3 separate regions of the Mus musculus genome follow, and regions 2 and 3 are each reported to be linked to region 1. Evidence: microRNA targets listed by miRTarBase, many of them from high-throughput screens and not tested one by one. Region 1 holds a microRNA gene; each other region holds the end of a gene's coding sequence.
What was found. Region 1 holds the annotated microRNA mmu-miR-542-3p (UGUGACAGAUUGAUAACUGAAA, at 1,466-1,487, opposite strand). A microRNA usually pairs through its seed, bases 2 to 8, with sites in the 3' UTR of a target mRNA and lowers its output. Matches are read on the target gene's strand: a 7mer-m8 pairs with bases 2 to 8, a 7mer-A1 pairs with bases 2 to 7 and ends in A, and an 8mer does both.

Region 2: miRTarBase lists Vps33b as a target of mmu-miR-542-3p. Seed matches in the 3' UTR shown: 8mer at 404-411.
Region 3: miRTarBase lists Plekhf2 as a target of mmu-miR-542-3p. Seed matches in the 3' UTR shown: 7mer-m8 at 870-876.

The regions. Positions count from the first base shown.
Region 1 is chrX:53,047,950-53,051,208 of GRCm38, forward strand. It overlaps Mir542 (microRNA 542), which reads right to left and starts at 1,538; the gene lies at 1,454-1,538. It overlaps Mir450-1 (microRNA 450-1), which reads right to left and starts at 295; the gene lies at 205-295. It overlaps Mir450-2 (microRNA 450-2), which reads right to left and starts at 418; the gene lies at 350-418. It overlaps Mir450b (microRNA 450b), which reads right to left and starts at 129; the gene lies at 48-129.
Region 2 is chr7:80,290,875-80,294,133 of GRCm38, forward strand. Vps33b (vacuolar protein sorting 33B) reads left to right here. Exons shown (of 23, transcript NM_178070.4): 23 at 241-705. The coding sequence ends at 320. Among named protein-coding and RNA genes, the nearest start is that of Prc1, 2.0 kb to the right of the region's middle.
Region 3 is chr4:10,987,737-10,990,995 of GRCm38, reverse strand. It overlaps Plekhf2 (pleckstrin homology domain containing, family F (with FYVE domain) member 2), which reads left to right. Exons shown (of 2, transcript NM_175175.4): 2 at 1-2,334. The coding sequence ends at 405. It also overlaps the pseudogene Gm2401. Among named protein-coding and RNA genes, the nearest start is that of Plekhf2, 18 kb to the left of the region's middle.

The sequences.
Region 1 (3,259 bases):
CTGTTCAAGTTTTGTCATGTTTCTTCCTAGTCTTCCCCCCATATATTGATACAAAATTATGCATGCAAAATGTTCCCAATACGCTTATGTTATGTATTCAGGAACATACTGCAAAAATAATTCTGTATCTGATTCCTATTATAAAAACAAACCATAAACAACTATGGTTAGACTTGCAGCTTCTTTCTTCCAACCTTTTGCCTGTGTATTGACACAAAGCTATTTATGCAAAATGTTCCCAATATAATTATAGCACATATTAGGAACACATCGCAAAAACAGCTCAGTATCTCTCTTTGGTCACTGGTGGTGCTACAGCTTGGAGGTGACTGTCCATATGATGGATGCAGAACCATGAATGCAAAGCATCCCCAATATACTCATAGTACATATTAGGAACACATCGCAAAAATAGTTCAGCATCTTGGTTTGCCTTTCTCCTTCCTCTATCATTCAACCACAGCATCAGTCCCCAGCATATTTGTTCAATAACATTAAAGCACAACTCAGGATAACTATAATATTTTGATCTGTTCTCTTAGCCTTATATCTGTATATTGATCCCATGTATGTAAAATTAAAACGGAGAAGAAAATATTTTGCATGTTTATCATTAAACGCTTTTTATTAGTGTTTGTGGCACATCTTTATGTCACAAAAATTATTTTCAGAAATATCAATCTTAATGATAGCATCCTATCACATTGTCTTAGAAGAGCATATTTTATTTATGCAACCCTTTACTATTAATAAGTCATTTTATCCTCAAAATGACTGAAGTGAAGGGAGGTGGTAACCCCAGTGACATAGATGGTGAGGCAAATGAGCCACAGATGCAGATTCCTCCTGGCAGGCCTAGAGAGTGATTTAAAGCCAGCATGAGCAAGTTAGTGAGGCCTAGTCTCAAAAAAAAAAAAAAAAAAAAGAATTGCAAGCAGGTATGATGGCATACACTTATAATGCCAGCCCTTGGGAGGGGGAATTAGGAGGGGAAGGAATTCAACATGAGCCTCTGCTACACAAGTTTGAGTCTGGGTAACATAAGATCTTGCCTCAAAAATAAATAAATAAATAAATAAATAGTAATAAACATCCTGATGTTTTTTCATTTTCCGTGACTTTCCGTGGCTTGTATATTTATCTTCATGGCTATTTATATGACTCCACATTTTTAAGGTAACCTGTTTTTCTAAAGCTTACAGCTAATGTTTTTCTTGTTTGAGGAAAAACATAGTTTTAATATTTTAGCCTATATATAAAACCATATGTCCTGTCTAGGCTTCAGTGGACTGAATAGAAATGCAAATTAATAAAACCCTTCTCATTCTATAAAAACACAACCCATACCCTCCCCCACTCCATGGCAACCCCTTTCCTCCTTGCCTAGGGCTCAGTCCTCTCCTGACCTCTCATCTCTGTAATACTCACCCCACCAATTCTTAGGAAGAGGAGTGGCTCCCAGACCTTTCAGTTATCAATCTGTCACAAGGGCACAGTGGTATCTCGTGACATGATGATCCCCGAGACGTCTGAGATCCCTGCATGTGTAACCTCAAATTTCTGGATCTCCCAGTACCCTTAAAGACCTTTTAGCGAGTAGCATTTCACAATGGGACACAAATCAAAGCACAACAAAACAAAGAAACAGCAAAACTGTGAAGATGGGGAAAAAAAAACAAAACAAATAAGCAGCTAACCAACCTACTACAAATTCTGTTTTTAAAAAGTCTCTTTGTTTTGCAGTTTCTTTCCAGTTTCTACTCTACTTTCAGCCACCAGAGTTAGTGTAATTCTGTGGCCTTGATTTTTAAAAGCTTGTTATCTTAAGAATGTTTCTAAGTTTCTAGGTAGTTTTTATGATTATTCACAATGACTAAAAACGTTCTTTTGAGGATGCCACTAAATTAATCTCTATGGTTAGTTCATATTTGCTCCCTTAATTTACTTGAGTCTATAGAAAGGATCAAAGCTTTAAAGTGAATTCACTTTACAATTTTTAAGCTTGTACACATTGAATCATGCATGGGTAGGTGACTTACAGTCATTACTTAATCATGAAGTCAATCTTGAGCCTCAGTTAGGAAGTGTCCAGCAGTTAGACTCTCACTCGTCCTTCTTAGGACTAGACAGTTTCAACTAGACCTTTTCTAACCAAACACACTAGTTCAGCTCCATTTTCTGTCCTAATCACTATGGTGTAAGCTTCTGATGGCCAGGCAGGAATGTTACCTGGCACAGCATGAAGTCTGCATGATGCAGTTTCCCAGGTTTCATCTTCAGAATCCTCAGGTCTCTCGAAACTTTGTCTGCCTTACTTATCTCTCAAAGTTGTAAACAACAAATCTATGAAAGCAGTTGGGGCCGTAAGTGAACAGAGGAAATGAAGGCAAGTGCTGAGATGAGGATTGTAAAGATTTGGTTTCTAGGGCACAAACATTCTGCCTTCACTCTGCAGAGTGGAGGTGGGGGAGGGGTAGCAAAAGACCCGAAGGAAGGAGTCAGGCTGCAAAGCAAGCAGTATTCCCAGCCCCCAACAATGCCCCCGACTTGGAGCTGGGGAGGGGAGCGGGAGGGGGGGAGTGCGGCGGAGGGGGCGGGAGGGGGGCACGCTTTTCAATTTTCACCACTTGCTCCGAAGACAGAGCTCAAGAGTAAAGGGGAGTGCTCCAAGGCTGAGGGACCACAGGAAATGGAAATCGTTAGAGGCTCCTCCCACAAGGCTCTAAGCCCCTTTAAACTTGAGGAGGATATCAATTGTGGACCCAGTGCAGGAAACAGATGAGTGAAATATTAGGACAGAGCCAGGAGATCCTAGCTCAATGGATGGGCATAAGGCAGGCTGAACTGGGCCTCGGAGATACAGATTTGCTATGATTGGTGTATACATACTGTGTTTCGTTTTAAGAGGCATACAATAACTCTACATAAAGATGAACGTATAAGTTTCTGGCATCATGAGAAATGCTTCTGGACAACGGGAAAATAGATCTCTAGAAATTAATGTTAACTTGGTAATGCCCACAGCTCAAGTCTTTTGATCTCTATCAATATATATTCATTGATCTTCCTGAAGCATACTTTTTGAACCTATTTGTATTTTTTTTTTAATCTGCACCGTCTCTCAGGAAATCTGCCTATTAATTAATTTATGTCGTGTAGATTCATCATGTTTCCCTTGCTGTTCCCTCCTCCTCAATGGATTGACAGGTATGGTGCTTTAGAATAATCAGTAAAATAATGGGCATTGCAGAGTCCTTCT
Region 2 (3,259 bases), not on the chromosome of region 1:
AGTGCTAGGATTAAAGGCGTGTGCCACCACTGCCCAGCCAACAACTGATAGTTTTATTTTCTATTTTTCTCCTCACTTGTTGGGGACAGGCAGGTCCAGATGTGTCTATGCCCAGATGTATCTGTGCCTGTAGCCCTGCATTCTGATCCTGGGGCACTGAGGCGCTGTGGGAGTGGTGGGCTTGGCCTGTTGGGACCTGAGGTCTATTTAGTCACTTCTGCTACTTCTCTTGACTCTTAGGGTACAGATTTATTTTTCTGACAACTGCTGTTACAAACAGTGCTCGCCTCATGGAAGCCATGAGTGAGGTGAAATCCTGATGTTTTCCTGGCCAGTGCTGAAGTATTTCCTGATTGTGGATCCCAGTGAGATGCTGGTGTTTGGCATCTACCTTCTACGATTCCTGTCACACACACACACACACACACACACACACACACACACACACACATATACACATACACACACACACATACACACACACACACACACACACACACACACACACCCCAGCTACACTTAATACTCAGAGCTGGGAACTTTGGAACTAATTTTGGGGGAGAGAATTCATGTCCTATCCTCCAGGATACTCCTCTTGCTTATAAATTGTATATAGTTCATGCTGCTAAGATATGAGGGGAGAGGTATTCTTTGCAAATCCTGTTTGAATATTATTGTAAATAAAGCCTCTGTTCTCTCTCTCTCTCTCTTTGTTTTTTGTTTGTTTGTTTGTTTGTTTGTTTTCAAGACAGGGTTTCTCTGTATAGCCCTGACTGTCCTGGAACTTCCTCTGTAGAGTAGGCTGGCCTTGGACTCAGAAACTGCCTGCCTCTGCCTCCTGAGTGCTGGGATTAAAGTGGTTTTTAAACCACTGCTGGGCACCTCTGTTCTCAAATGCAATATCTTTGTAGTCCTAGACATACAATCTCCTTTTTTACATAGTGAGACTTTCCTGGGGGCTTCATGTGCTTCATGACCTGGACTTTCATTGTTTACTCTTGGAGGAGGTTTGGTCTGTTGCTACATATTGTAATGTTAAATTTTGTACCAGGAGTGAGTTCTCACATTTATCAACCTTTGTTGTACAAACCTTGCTCCTTAATTTAAAACTATTGGTTAAATAAAATGGAACAGCTAATTACTGGAAGGATTAGAGATAGGTGGGTTTTGAGTTACATGGTTGGAAGTTGCAACAAAGGAGAAAGAAAGGAGACAGAGGGAGGAGGAAGCCACTGTGAGGGAAGATGGACCATGAGCACAAGGCCAGGAGAAGCGGCAAGTGTCTGGGATACACCACTGGGGAGGTAGTGAGGCTAGCAGTTAGAAAAGTAGATTAGGGGTGACTGCCAGTAACTGTCATAGTCAAATAAAATAACCATAGCTGGGTCTCATTCTTACGTAAACTAGACAGGGATAAGATTAAAATAGTTCAACGATCCTGGGCCTACTCCGTTTTCCCTGGAGGGAGTCACTAACCTCCCGTGTATAGGAGGAGGAAGGCTGCAGTGGCCCACAGTGGTGCACACACGCCTTCCCATCCTAAGGTTCTGTGCTCCAGTACACTTCCAGAAGATAAATGTGTTACTGCTCTAACTTAAACAGACAGGTTTACTTGTTCCTTTTTTGAGACATGATCACTGGCTAGCCTAGACTTATGTAAACCAGGCTGGACTCGAAGTTATCATGATCCTCCTGCCTCTCACATGTTGTAATTACAGGTTTCTATTACTGTGCCTAGTAAATAAAATATTATGTTTTGTTTTCTAAAAGTAAGAAAAAAATCTTTCTGATGACAAACTCAATGACTTTCTATAATCCCAGCACATGGGAGGCTGAGGCAGGAAGATGACTGACAAGTTCAAGACCAGCTTGGGCTATGCAATGAGTTTCATGCCATCCTGGTGTACAGAATGACACCTTGTCTCAGAAAAAACAGGTGTGTCAGGGTGTGATAGCGCTTGGCTTGCTAGGGTGTGATAACCCTAGCACTCAACAAATAAACAGGCAAATAAACAAATATCTTTATAGTTGTAATTTTACTACTGTTATGAATCAAATATCTGTTATGTAGGATGTCTGCTATTCTACTCCTGTGATAGGGCTATTTGACACCCCCCCCCCCCCAAAGGGCTCAAGACCCACATTTTGAGAATCACAGCTTTGGATTCTACTTCCTAGACCCATGCAGTGGGAGGAGAAAACTGAATCTTTTAAGTTGCCCTCTATTCTCCACACATGACCACCCCATATACACACACAAATTTAATAAATGTATTTATCATAAAAAAGAGAAGCAAATAATGAGACTCTTATAGATGGTACAGTTGACCAATACAGAAAAGCAGACAATTTTAGTTATAATTCAGTATAAACTAGATTTTGTTTTATTTTGGGCCTATAGATGGAAGCTAGTGGTTTAAAAGCGCATTGCTAATCACCAGTGCTGTGGGTAACAAGGATACTCCAGGTAAAGTTTGGTGCAGAAGATAGGTTAATAAGTACCTCTTCGCAAAGGAGAATTCAATAATTACACTTCTACAAATCATTTTGGAGGAGGTAGCAAAAAAGAAATTCATCTCAGCTTTATTACAAATTTTAGTCTGAGTAGCAAAGGAGATACTCCCATAGCAGTGTATTAGGTAATAGTAAATCATTGAAAATGGGATACAGATGCTATGGGTCAGTGGGAAGAAAAGGACACACAAATACTTTGGTTGTTTTTTGTTTTTGTTTTTTGTTTGTTTGTTTGTTTGTTTTGGTTTTTCGAGACAGGGTTTCTCTGTGTAGCCCTGGCTGTCCTGGAACTCACTTTGCGGACCAGGCTGGCCTCGAACTCAGAAATCCGCCTGCCTCTGCCTCCCAAGTGCTGGTATTAAAGGCGTGCGCCACCACGCCCGGCTACACAAATACTTTGATGTCATGTTCAAATTGTGGAGTTTTCCTGATTTACCTAAATCTTATAATGTGCAAGAAAAACAAAGCCCAAATCACCATTTGCTCACAGCTAAATTGGGCAAGTCAGTTTTTTCCTGTAGCCCAAACTATTTCCCTGTCCTGTCTCTGCCGCCTACGTTCTGGAAAAGCTACTCAAATCTTTTTCTTCAGGATAGTGATGATCATTATTAACAGGTGTGTTCTAATGATTAAATGCGATAAACTTGTCCACTAAGGTACCAGGACCAAGAGCCTGGTTTTTTTTTCCTTCTAAGCTTTCCTGCTAGTCCCTGCTCCTCTTGGGACATTGGAGAGTAGCAAGAAG
Region 3 (3,259 bases), not on the chromosome of region 1:
GCCACGGAGAAGTCAGAGTGGATGAATCACATAAATAAGTGTGTCACTGATTTACTCTCCAAAAGTGGGAAGACGCCCAGCAACGAGCATGCTGCTGTCTGGGTTCCTGACTCTGAGGCCACCGTGTGTATGCGCTGTCAGAAAGCAAAATTCACACCAGTCAATCGGCGGCACCATTGCCGCAAATGTGGCTTTGTTGTTTGTGGTCCCTGCTCTGAAAAGCGATTTCTTCTTCCCAGCCAGTCTTCTAAGCCTGTGCGGATTTGTGACTTCTGCTATGACCTGCTTTCCACGGGGGACATGGCCGCGTGTCAGCCGACTAGATCAGACTCTTATAGTCAGTCGTTGAAGTCTCCTTTAAATGATGCATCTGATGACGACGACGATGATGATAGCAGTGACTAAGGATATGCTGTGAAGTATTTAATTGACTGCCTGAGAGTCAGCTTTGGGGGCGCTCTCAGTTTGCTTTAGCCATGACTGCCTGAGAAGTCTTAACCTCTGTGCCTCTCTGTATCCTATGGAAAGCAGCCCCATGCTTTCTGCTCCCCTCTGCACTCTCTCACAGGGACAAACTTGCAGATACATCCGATAGGGTCTTGGCTTTCTACTGTCCTTATTTCTAGATTATTTCCTTGTAAGTTGGAAAGAATGTTTATTTAACAGATCTTGTATTACATTTATTTCCCCCTGATGTGGAAAATCTAAAAGCACAGAATGATGGGAACAAGAGTATGATGTGCTTGGTATCTGGCTTTTCCCCAAGCAGTCGATGTCAAGGTTACGACACCAGTGACAGAGCATGGTTTGGAAATCCTTTATTCTCTTTTCTCAATACCAAGTGGTGCCTTACTGTGGCAGCAGTGTCACTGTCACTGAAATAAACGTAAGCCCTACCTTCTTTCTTGTTTGATTGATTTAGACACACTGGTGCTCTTACAGGTGGAGAATGAGTGTTTGATGGATATAGGTAAGCATATTTATTTGACAGCTATGAGGAACTAAATTTAGAGGTTTCTCCAATCTTATATGAATATTTTTCATAAAATAGTTGTGATTATATTTTTACATCTTTTATGCACCAAATTATAATGGTCACATATGTTTAGCCCGTTGCCACTGTTCGGGATTCGATTTGAAACTCATCACTAGTATAGAAGTGGCATATCCCACTAGCTTCTACTTTCCTGATATATTTTTACAAATAACTTTATTTGCTTTACATTATTTCTAAAAGGAAAAATCTGAGGAAACCCTTATATTTTCCAACAGGGTTCCTCTGTGTAGCTTTGCTTATCCTGGAACTCGATTTGTTGACCAGGCTGGCCTTGAATTCTCAAAAATCCATCTGCCTCTGCCTTTGCCTCCCCAGGCACCACTACCACCTGACAAAAATGAAAAGTCTTAAGAAAATCCTCCCAGGAGAACATGGAGTCTTAGAGATCTGGAAGAGATCGGAGTTTGACTAGGTTTCCTGTCTGCAAGTCAATTTTTTTTGTGAAATTATCTTGATTTACAACGTGGTATTGTATTTTACAGAGTTCATGAAGCCCCAAACAATTTTTATTTTTGTAAAACAATTGTATGTTTAATCTGTTTCTGAAATCATTTTGCAATATATGGAAATAGAGTAGCAGTTGATATTTCTAAATTGTGACCATTGTCCGAGATTGCTTTGAGAACTGGTAGTTATTCTCTTTATGTTTGGAGGCAGCCATTAGGCTGTAGGCCTGCTTACTGCATAGCACTGGACGTGCCAGGCACATTCTGGCCCCTGGCATGCTTAAGTAACTAGGTTTTCAAATGTGGGAAACCAAGCTGAAAGGTCTGTTTTGTTTTGTTGTTGTTTTGTTTTGGTTTGTTTTTTTTTTTTTTTCAGAGTTCTTTTCAAACCCAGTTTCCCTTTTTCAAACTTTAAAACCTGCATAATTCTGCAGATGTCCTAGGGTTTGAGTCAGTAACTTGTGAATGAAAGTCATTGGTATTTGGCTTTGTGGTTACAGTACTAATTTTACTTTGCTGCTCAGTTTTGAAAGTGTGTGAGCTACATAGGTCTCCCTGTAGGAAATGTGAAAAAAAGCACAATAGAACCAGGCTAGGGGCTTTGTTCCTGCTTTTTGTTTTGTTTGGTTTTACTATCAGATGGATGGATTTGTGTTTGTCTCAGAGCAGCATATACATGCAGTCAGTAAGCATGTTTGAAAGGACCATAAAAACCAGAGAAATGCTGATGGGAACTTGGAAGTTCAGAAACCAAGGGGAAATGTCCTGAGATAACATTTGCATTGTCGACCTCAGTTGACTGTTTTTACAATAAAAATATTTTGCAGCTTATTTCCTGTGTTTTTATATTGTAATTGAATATTTTCTTCCTTTTCTAACTAAGATATTATGCATAATTCCACCTTAGTATATATTAGATATGAATGCTTAGGATGTAGACACTAATGAAGAATAGTTTTTTGTTTTTAGATAGACCTATTTTGGCCTCAAACGGACTATGTAGCAAGTAGTAGCTCTAATTGCGAAGCTGAGAATTCCCTTGAACTGATCCTCGTGCCTCCACATCCAGAGGACTAGAATAGCAGGCTGGACTGACCCAGAGTACTGAGGTCCTTCGTTCTTCTAGGCAAGCACCCACCAGCTGAGCCACACTCCAGCCCTGTCCACTCTTTAGGAGGTGCTGATGCAGGATTGGCAGAATTGCTTTTTTTTTTTTTTTTTTTTTTTTTTTTTTTTTTTGACTTGGGAAACTCTGTTTATTGATCCTCAAACCCAATACAAAACTCTGCACAAGTTTTACAGGTCCTTGACCTTGAGGCAACACAGCTGTGCTTGCTAAAGTCGGCTTGCTTGTCTCTCTGGGCTCTGATTCTGCTTTCTGAGACACCAAGAGGATTTCTCCTGCTCTCCTCCTCTGCAGTCTCCAAGTTGGTGATCATCATCTGATTGTGGTGGAGGGTGGAGGAGAGGAGAGGCAGAAAGACCCAGAAGTTTCTCTGTAGGCTTAGAGAAGTGAGCCCCACAGCCAATCCAAAGCCGGATCTGGTCCAGGTTGAGGGCAACAAAGTTTTCTCCGTTACTTTTGGGCAGTGGATCATCGGAGCCCAATTGCTCCAGAAGTGGCCATTCCTGTAACACTTGTGAGCAACCACAATGTGGTAAAAAGGCTGATTGGTGCAGCCACCCGAAGCAAGGTGTATGCTTAGGTGGACTCTCTGATAGGCTTTGCAGAAAAGGCGGTGAGGTGAACCATGGT